Linked DNA regions of Arabidopsis thaliana. The protein of the gene in region 2 interacts with the protein of the main gene of each other region in a pairwise test. Each region holds a gene or a part of one and is shown on either strand. Other genes may lie near its edges.

Evidence for each region.
Region 1: the proteins of AT5G66270 (region 2) and AT1G22490 interact in a two-hybrid assay, tested with the Arabidopsis thaliana proteins (one large-scale study listed by BioGRID).

Annotation. Positions count from the first base shown.
Region 1 is NC_003070.9:7,937,849-7,942,307, forward strand, and holds AT1G22490 (basic helix-loop-helix (bHLH) DNA-binding superfamily protein), read right to left. Parts: upstream 2,778-4,459; 5' UTR 2,642-2,777; coding exon 2,204-2,641; intron 1,738-2,203; coding exon 1,195-1,737; 3' UTR 749-1,194; downstream 1-748.
Region 2 is NC_003076.8:26,472,514-26,477,950, forward strand, and holds AT5G66270 (Zinc finger C-x8-C-x5-C-x3-H type family protein), read right to left. Parts: upstream 3,327-5,437; 5' UTR 3,054-3,326; coding exon 2,994-3,053; intron 2,452-2,993; coding exon 2,317-2,451; intron 2,228-2,316; coding exon 2,103-2,227; intron 2,024-2,102; coding exon 994-2,023; 3' UTR 573-993; downstream 1-572. Other genes in the region: GMD1 (GDP-D-mannose 4,6-dehydratase 1), read left to right, coding at 3,921-5,006; AT5G66290 (uncharacterized protein), read right to left, coding at 4,783-5,118.

The DNA.
Region 1 (4,459 bases), on a different chromosome or scaffold from region 2:
GTTTGATTTCCCACGAATAGTTAGTTATACATGTGTGTTATGGTCGGCTAAATGTTTTTTTTTATAATAAAGATACAACCTTGTATATCAAATTTTTTATTTTCAATTTTATTTTCTTGGGTTACTAGATAGAAAGAATTTGTTTGCATTCAAAGCCAAAGGTATAACCTCCACTATCGTAGGAGCATGCTAAAATTTAGTGATTAACGGATTAAAAGTTGAACCCACAAACTTTAAAAGTTCTAGAAAAAGACGAATTCATCTTTGAAGAAAATAAATTCAAAAATTAATCAATCATACTATTAATCATTATAATTATACACTAAACACAACCCTAAAAACACTGAGAAGTACATTAGGCGTAGGCCTAACGGCTATTAGCGCCCAATGTCACATACTTATCGACTTAAACCATTTTCTTTTATTCAATTTTTTTGTTCAGATCTTTATGACCATTGATTCATTACAAGAGACAAAAATGCAACTTACATAGGGAGGATTAGAGGAATAGTGAAAAAAAAAAAAAATTAGAAAACTGATTTCAGTTATTTCAAAATAAAATAAAAATAAAACAAGTTAATTATAATCTATTTGCTGAATTATGTCTCTTCTTGAATCCTCCTTATGGTTTGATTCAAAGCTGTTGCAATGTCGTCCACGGTATTCAGTTGGCTTCCTTCTTCAACCTGAACCAACACATTTTCTCTTAAGAAATAAAGATATACATAACAATTCTTGAAAAAAGTTGCAACAAACAAAATTAGAAGGATGTAGATAACTATAACAAAATATCTTTCTATTTGCTAAATATCTCCTGAAACAAATGGTGGACTCACTTCGTTGTCCGTACATATCTCATCTACAATTATGTGACCACCGAACATATATCCACAGTACATAAACATATACATAAACATATATAAATACACAACACCACGTATACAATTCGTGGATATAGATAGACACATATTCGTGTTTCGTTTCTTTAGGTTGGTCCCCTGATTCTTACAGGCACGATTAAGATACGCAATTTATTATTGACAAAAATAATAATCAAAATGATGATTATGAGTTTGACCCACAACTATTGAGGCCCCAGCCCTAAGTACCCAAAGGAGGTAAGAAAAAAACAAAGAGAATGATTTTAATTTTTCTTCACAACCTTTTTAAAGCCCAGGCATAACCACAATAGTACTAATCCAAAATTTCCCCCCAACAATAAGAGACAAAAAAATAAATCAACAAAGTGAAACCATATGCACCACACACACAGTCATTACTCACTTTAATCTCATGATTACCCCAAAAGCAAACAAAGTAATGATGAGAAGTTGAAAATGTACGTACCCTGACGCTGATGGAGTAGAGAATGGAGTTGTGGAGAGTGGTGACATTGAGATGAAGAAGAGTGAGCCTTAGGCTTTGTAAAGAAGTTATGAGCTTAAGAAGCTGCCTCGGTTTCTTCTTCGTCATTATCTTGATGTTCGCATGGCTTTCTGCCACCGTAACCTCTATCTCCGCCGGTGAAGATGAGCTTTCCGGTACATCTGATGATGACTTTGTAGAATATTGTGGGAAGCTGAAAAAATCTGTGAATGGACCCACTAACGAGCTAGTGCTAGTCTTGTCTCCTTTGGGATCATGAGTCCTAGTTCTCTTCGGCTCCATAGATTGTAAAATATGCTCTAACTCCTTCACGTAGTTTATAGCTCCTCCTACTATCGACGCTTGATCTCCCTTTACCACCAAAACCCGCTCATGTCAGATCATATAGTTATCATAAAGATTGAAAAAATCTTTGAATGTATAAATATACACACACACGTATCATTGCTAATTGCTTAAGTTTATTACGAAATTGTTCTAAAACATATCCCAATATTCTCAATCATACTCGTTCTAATTTTTGGTGACACATAATATTTTATTTTAAAAAATACATTAAAATATGTAACAGCAAAGATTATTAGTATGTATATAAACGCGTCACCCTTCCATATTTACGGTGGATTTTCTTGTTAATATATTGTATAAAAACATCAATATATATTCTCAGTCATTTTCATTCTATTCTTTTGTGTTAATATATTATGGAGAAATGAGTACTACAGCCAAGCAAGTAATAAAACAAAGACACATATACCTAAGAATGACCCTGACCAAATGATATATAGCATATATAAACATTGAATTAGTAAGTTACTCTTTGAGCATACGACGACGGCATTAGAGAACGGAGCACAGCCAGATACTCGTTCATCTGTTTCCGGCGATTTCTCTCGACGGCGATGTGAGTCATTCTCTGGTTCTCGATCTCTTCCTTGTTCTTGCAGTTTCTCGTTCTCCTCCTCTTCCTCCGGTGCTGTGGAGGAGGATGACTCTCCACATCAATGGCGGTAAGACCAAGCTCTTCTCCCAACGAAGGGATCAACAAAGGATACTGATGATAGTCTCGCCATTGATGATCGTCCTCCTTACCTTGTTCCACAAAGCTCTGTTCATGCCCTAACTTATCAATGTTGTTCTTCGTATCTTGAGCTACGAACTCTTCTTGAGAGTATAAGTCGTGGAACATAAAATCTTTGCAATTGGAGAGATATCCGAATGGATCTTGCGGGTATACGACAGCCTCTAAGGGCATTTTTTAGCCGGAGATTGTTGAAAAGAAAAATTCAGAATTATGGAAAAAATAAGAAAGATTGAGAAACCGAGAGAGGGAGAGAGAAGGAGAGAAAACAAAATTTAGACAGGAAGTGTTTGTCGCTCTCCTTTTTGTCTCGAGGGGGAAATAAAGGCAAAAGGGTTAAGCCCACTAAAGGAAACTAAGCATGGTATTAGTTATATGAAGATTTTTTGTAAATTGATTTACAAAATATTAAATTCTCAAGAACTCACCGGCATGGAGGAAGAATAGGAGAGTGAATCTTCAACAAAAATAAATATACAAAAGAAAGATATGAGAGTGAAAACCGAAATATGAGGATCAAACAAAGTGGTGTGATTTATTTAAAAAGGGAATTGAGAGAAGCTTTGTGAGGCTATTAATTTTTTTTTTTTTTTTTTTGATGCTCTCACAGTTGACCAAAAATAAATGCTCCCGCAGAGATCAAAAACGAAAAGAAAAATAAAACTAAAGAAAAGATGTATTTGTCACCAATATATATATAAAAAACACTGAAAAGGAGATATAAAGTGCACTTGTAATAATCATCCCAATTGTATTTAAATAACTTGTTCATAATAATTAGAGGTTAAGAAAATAAAGAAAAAAATTGTTCATAATGTTTTTAATATAAATTAGTTTTATTATATAGTAATTTTATTATTAAGATGTTAATTGTTTGGAACTATTCCTAAAAACCCATAATCTTTCTTAGTTCAAAATCAAATAAATAATAAATAATTTATTAAGAAATGGTAAAGCTGATATAGTGGGCAGTGAATTTATATTGACGTTCGAGTGAAAGAAAACTGGTGCTGGACTGCTGGTGGTGATCATAACCAGTTAAAACCTCTTTCGAGTTTTTCCGAATATGTATAGTGTAAGGATACACAGATGGTGATGGCTAAACTACTTAAAATTCTAAATATAGCAAAAAATTAATAGAAAAAACAATAGTTCGTTAGTACTAATATGTCATGTTGCGGATTACTTTAACCAAAAAAAAAGTTACGGACTACTTTAACAAATTTTTTTGTTGCGGATTAGCGTTTTCGCCAAAAAAAAATTAAGACGTGCAATTCTACGTCAGTCGGACAAGTGAGTGATACAATAAAACGAAAATGTGAAATTTTCAATTGGACCATAAAAATTCTAAAGCATTATATATATACAGTTACATGCTACTTGTAAACAAAGTTATTTGAGTTTCCAGTTAGGACGGTCTACGCCAATTAATTTTTAGTTCTACGCATTCACATCTGGTAACAATTTTTTTGGTTTGAAAATTAAAATTCTACCAGATATTACCTTAGAATATCTATCCAACTTCGTGGAATTAGATCCATTATCTATGGTTACTAATTACTATTTAGATACATAGATGCATATAGATAAATGTATACATTGCAGCGTCAAGTTTGCACGTGAGATAGTAGTAGACCAGTCCACAAGACCAAATAATCTGTTTGCAGGTTGGGGGTCGTCTAGTTACACTCATGTTCTATTATTTTACTTTAAACAAAAATATAATGTATTTCCATATCAAATATATGGTTAAGTATCCGATTAAAATTAAAAATCTTTAAAACAAATGTTTGTCAGAAAATACACAACCAATAGAAGATTTATTTTGGCCGGTGGGGATCACTTTATGTCAGGTTTTAACAAATTTGTTTCGTGATGTTATTAAAAATATATTTAAATCGAGATATTTACTTGCATGTTATAAAATGATGGTCTATTAAAAATCTTTTGTCACTACTTTTCAACATCAAAAACCAAAAAAGTTATGTATAT
Region 2 (5,437 bases):
GTAAACGTCTTCTACATCTCAAAAATTTCGGACACTTGGCTCCCAAAGTATGATATCATCATGATATTAATATTGGTATCGTATGAGCGGTGACGTAATTGGTGTAGCAACGATAAAATGTTCTTAACAATTGATATTGACTAAAAGTATATACTATTTAAACCACCATCCAATCATTCATATCGCGTTAAGAAAAAACTTGACATAACCGTTTCAGTTTATCGTTATTCCTAAACCACATTACACAACGAGTTTTGGATAAACTCGAAGTCTTTTATATATATTATATATTCATTTATATATTTGGTAACACCAATCACAAAATTATATTATTGGTATAACTATTTAGCAAAATAGAACAGACAAGAAATTTTGAGTTTTAGTTGAGCACAGGTGTAGGGATCACATGTCGGGTGTTCTTTATGTGAGCTTTTTGTGTCCTTCTTCATACAGATGATACAATTATAACCAAATGTACCTTTTTCATACAAATGATTATACTACCCTAAGTCTTTGTTTTCGCTAGATTAGTTCAACTCATTAATGACATAATCAACATTCAACAAAATAGACTAAGCGGTTATGTTTCATTGTTTCTAATTTCACTTTCTTTTTTATTTAATGGAATTAATATCTTCGGTGTTGTTATTCCAGAGATTTAAAAATTTCAATACATTTTTAAAATTATGGTAGAAAAAGAAATTGAACTCCAGTGATATCATTAACTAATTTTATGGATTGTAATAATCCGTCTTTTTCTCCGGCAACAAAATTGACCAACTTCTCAAAACTCTTGGTCCAAGTACTAAAATGATAACCTTGTAGATGGCCAAAAGAAATGTTACGGCAACGGGTGGACCCAAAAAAAAAAAACATGGATGACTGACTAACTTTGGGAAACTTGTTAAACAAGTTATCAGAATTTGGATGAAGCTATTTACCAATAATTTCAGACATGCTTGGTGTTAAATTTTGAGTCATATCGTAGCTGTATTACGATCCAAACTTGAGTCTCTTAGCTCTGGGAAAGTGAGGAGGTGCAACATCAGTCCATAACCTTTTAGAACTGTCGTGAAGATACAAGCAACTCTCGCCCATCCGACACCCCTTGGGCCTGTTAAAATACATGCACGGTTTCTGAATCCTAACCTTTACGATTTTCTTATGATCAACTCTTCCTTTGTAATTGTTAGTTTCAGTTGTTGCCGGTTTGACTGCCCCATGTTCCCTAATGAGGTTCTTGAAGTAGTCTAGATCTTTCACGGGTTTTGCAGAAACCTGATCATCCCGGTTTGTGTTACCATTACGGATTTGAGGATCTGTTTCAGTTCGCGCTGACTCCGGTACCTTATTCATATTCCAAGAGCTGCAAGGGAAAAGGAGTTGGGTCTTTTGTTCTGAGACTACAACATCATCCCCTGTGCTTGGTTTCAAGGGAGCAGCTGTGTAAGAATCCTCAACTTTGATCCCAGAAGACAATGGATAGTTGTGAACAACCGGGGTGGGTTTCTGGAGGGTAAGGTTCATTGAGAGAGCACTGGACATGGGCTGATTGGGTTTGGGGAGTGGAGGATCTGTAGCACTGGACTGAACCGAAACAGGTACATTATGTGGCGCAACATTTCCAGGCATGGGAGGTGGGTTTCTGTCCATGGTTGTGGAGGTGACATGTTGAGGAGCAAGTCTAGGTTCGGTGATGTCAGTGTTTAGACTGTTATTTGCAGTTTCAAGTGGTTTACCTTTCATGCCATTGATCAAGTTCTCAACGATTTTGGGGTCACTGAGTAACTTGACAAGTAAATCAGGATCGACCTGAGAGCCCTGTTCCTTAGTTAAGGCAGACAAAGCTGCAGAAGCAAGAAGACTTAACTCTGGTCCAAGTCCAGAAACAGCTGCAGGAGCTTCGAAACTGTGGGAAGATTCAGCAGCAGCGTCACGTTCATCTTCAACGTGAGTGAGAGGGATATTAGGAGTTTTGCCGTCGTCATAGTGTTCTTCTTCAACAGCTAGTGTGAGCGAAGGACTAGAAGAAAACAGAGAGAATTTGATAAGTGGAAAAACATGACATGGCACAAAAGCAAATCCTCAAATGATAAAATTACCGAGAAGGGATCACAGAGCGATGTGGATAGAAAGCTTCCAAGACTTTAGAAATCCTAAGATTCTCAGAACGAGTCTCGATGCTTTTTCCACCACTCCCAACAAGCAAAGCATCATCGAGGACAAACTATTTTGGCGGCGAATAAAGAAAGACAGTGAGAGTTATATAAAAACAAGAAGGGTCACATTGTTTGCAATTCAAGAAAAGAATTATACCAATGGTGGGCGTTTCCATTTGATCCGAGGAATGTGTGAGATGATTCGCTTCGTTGCATAATCAGTAGCTTCAAAACCAGGTGGAAGATTCGATGCAACTTTAACGGGACAATCATCACTAAGAAACAACTTTACCTGTCCAAATCCTTTACTTAGTTAGTAACCAAATGCGTGTGTACTCAGCAGCCACAAAGTCCTTTTTTTTACATGAGTTATATATATAAGGGGAGTCCTACATGTTTCACTATTTCAGGAGGAACACAATCTTTCTAAAATTAGTGACCACATTGGTACATTGTTCTTCTTTTTTTTTGGGATTTCTTGCTGTTTATGTCCCTACTATGTAAAGAAGATTTCATAACATCAAGTCATCAACATTCAGGCACACAAAATTAATTAATTAGATTCGCCATTACCAGAAAAAAAAAAAAAAAAAACGTCATCTTATTAAAGTTTGTTGCTTTGACGGTGACTTATGGAAAAGGTTTTATCTTTGTGTAAATTTAAAATTAAGAATAATTAATCAAAAGCAATCAATCAAAATCAATTCGTTTGTTAACTGTCCGATTCCAACTTTGATAACTGGTAAGTCCGAACCGAACAATTACAAATTTGCAGGTAAGAGAAGAATAAGGAACAAGATTGGGTCGACGAAGAAGACGACGGGTTGGCTATACCTGACAAAGCATACTATCTGATGCCCACGATACTCTCCCTTTCTTCGTTTTCTTCATCATTACTATTTCTCTTACAAAAATTCAATCGCAAACTCTTTCTAAAGTCTATTCACTAACCACTTTCTCAGATTCTATACGAAACGAGAAATCAGATGTTAGACCAAACTCGACAATGAGAAAGACAGATATGAATAAGAAGAGAGGCGTCGGCGATACGTTTTGTGTTCTGTGGGAGAGATAGAACAGAGAGAGAGAAAACCCTAACCACACTTTTTATGACTTTTTGACTTTCCCAGTGGAGAAAAATAAATACTATCAAATAGAGAGGCGCTGATTGGCTCCCATTCCTAATCGTTTTTTTTATTACTTTCACCGATTTAATTTCCACCACTCATATTCTTTTAATATTCACAATTACTCCTTTTAACGTTACGTGTTTTTTATTTTTACGCTTTCATTTTTGAATTTTGAATCTAATAAATAGGACATGCAAGTTGAGATCGTGTGGGGAAAAAAAAAAATCAATGGTTATTATAAGGCCGAGTATAATATAACTAAATGGGTTAACTTAAGGCAAATTACTAAAGTCCACAATGATGTTTAGTCTGAACGCAACCCGTAGAGCTATATATATATATAAGCCCAATAAAATTAGCAGTAATTTAAAGCCCATCTTGGCCCAATAGATAGTAAAATATTCGTAATCGGTCAACGCTTGCCGGCGATTTGCCATACAAGTACAACTTTACGTAGCCATACAGATTCACCTTTAAAGTTTACAGAAGTAACCCTCTCTCTCTGTCTTCTTCGTCCTTGGGCTTTATTATATATAAGTCATCGAATCAGTTGACGCTAAAATCAAAAACAGAAAGCGCGACGTGCCCAATCATTTCTTCTGATCCGATCTGACTCTGCACCCACCCATCAATGGCCTCCAGATCTCTCAATGGCGATTCCGACATTGTGAAGCCGAGGAAGATTGCACTGGTCACCGGAATCACTGGCCAAGATGGATCTTACCTGACCGAGTTCCTGCTCGAGAAAGGCTACGAAGTTCACGGCCTCATCCGACGATCCTCCAATTTTAACACTCAGCGACTCAACCATATCTACGTTGATCCCCACAACGTCAACAAAGCTCTCATGAAGCTCCACTACGGTGATCTCTCTGATGCCTCCTCCCTCCGCCGTTGGCTCGACGTCATCAAGCCTGACGAGGTCTACAACCTTGCTGCTCAGTCCCACGTTGCCGTCTCCTTCGAGATCCCTGATTACACTGCTGACGTTGTCGCTACTGGAGCTCTTCGTCTCCTGGAGGCTGTCAGATCTCACAACATTGACAATGGCCGCGCCATCAAGTACTACCAGGCTGGCTCTTCGGAGATGTTCGGGTCAACTCCTCCTCCGCAGTCAGAGACCACGCCCTTCCATCCGAGATCTCCCTACGCTGCGTCCAAATGCGCTGCTCATTGGTACACAGTCAATTACCGAGAGGCCTACGGTCTGTACGCCTGCAACGGAATCCTCTTCAACCACGAGTCACCTCGCAGAGGCGAGAACTTCGTGACTCGGAAAATCACTCGGGCCTTGGGAAGGATCAAGGTCGGATTGCAGACCAAGCTCTTCCTGGGAAATATACAGGCTTCAAGAGACTGGGGTTTCGCAGGAGACTACGTGGAAGCAATGTGGCTGATGCTGCAGCAGGAGAAACCAGATGACTATGTGGTTGCAACTGAGGAATCACACACCGTCAAGGAGTTTCTGGACGTGTCTTTCGGGTACGTGGGGCTCAACTGGAAAGACCATGTCGAGATCGACAAAAGGTACTTCCGGCCCACGGAGGTCGACAATCTGAAAGGAGACGCAAGCAAGGCAAAGGAAATGTTGGGGTGGAAGCCAAAAGTAGGGTTCGAGAAGCTGGTGAAGATGATGGTGGACGAAGACCTTGAGCTGGCCAAGAGGGAGAAAGTGCTCGCCGACGCTGGTTACATGGACGCTCAGCAGCAACCTTGATATGGGGAGGTGGCAAAGAAGAGTAATCATTATCTGCTTTTTCATTGAAATGTAATTTTGTTTCATTTGTTGTTGTTCTCTTTCGTTGTTTCAAGTTGTTCAACTCCATACACTGCCAATCGTCCATTGTGGATTTTGTATCAAAAGGCAAACAAAGCATATTTATTACATATGAATTTTCCCCTTATCAGAACAATGGTTTCTTACTGGTCACAAGCGATTGTACAAATCGAAAAGCCTAAAGATGAAATGACAAAAGAAAACAATGATTTGTAACAAAAAGATCAATCAATAGCATCATCATGCATCTATGCAAAATCAGAGGAGATCAGAAAGTATGCTGTAGAACTACACGTATTCGATTCACCAATCTAACTACCATTAAGAGTATTTACTCTTATGCCTCGGGTTTAGAAGACAGAGTTGTAGTA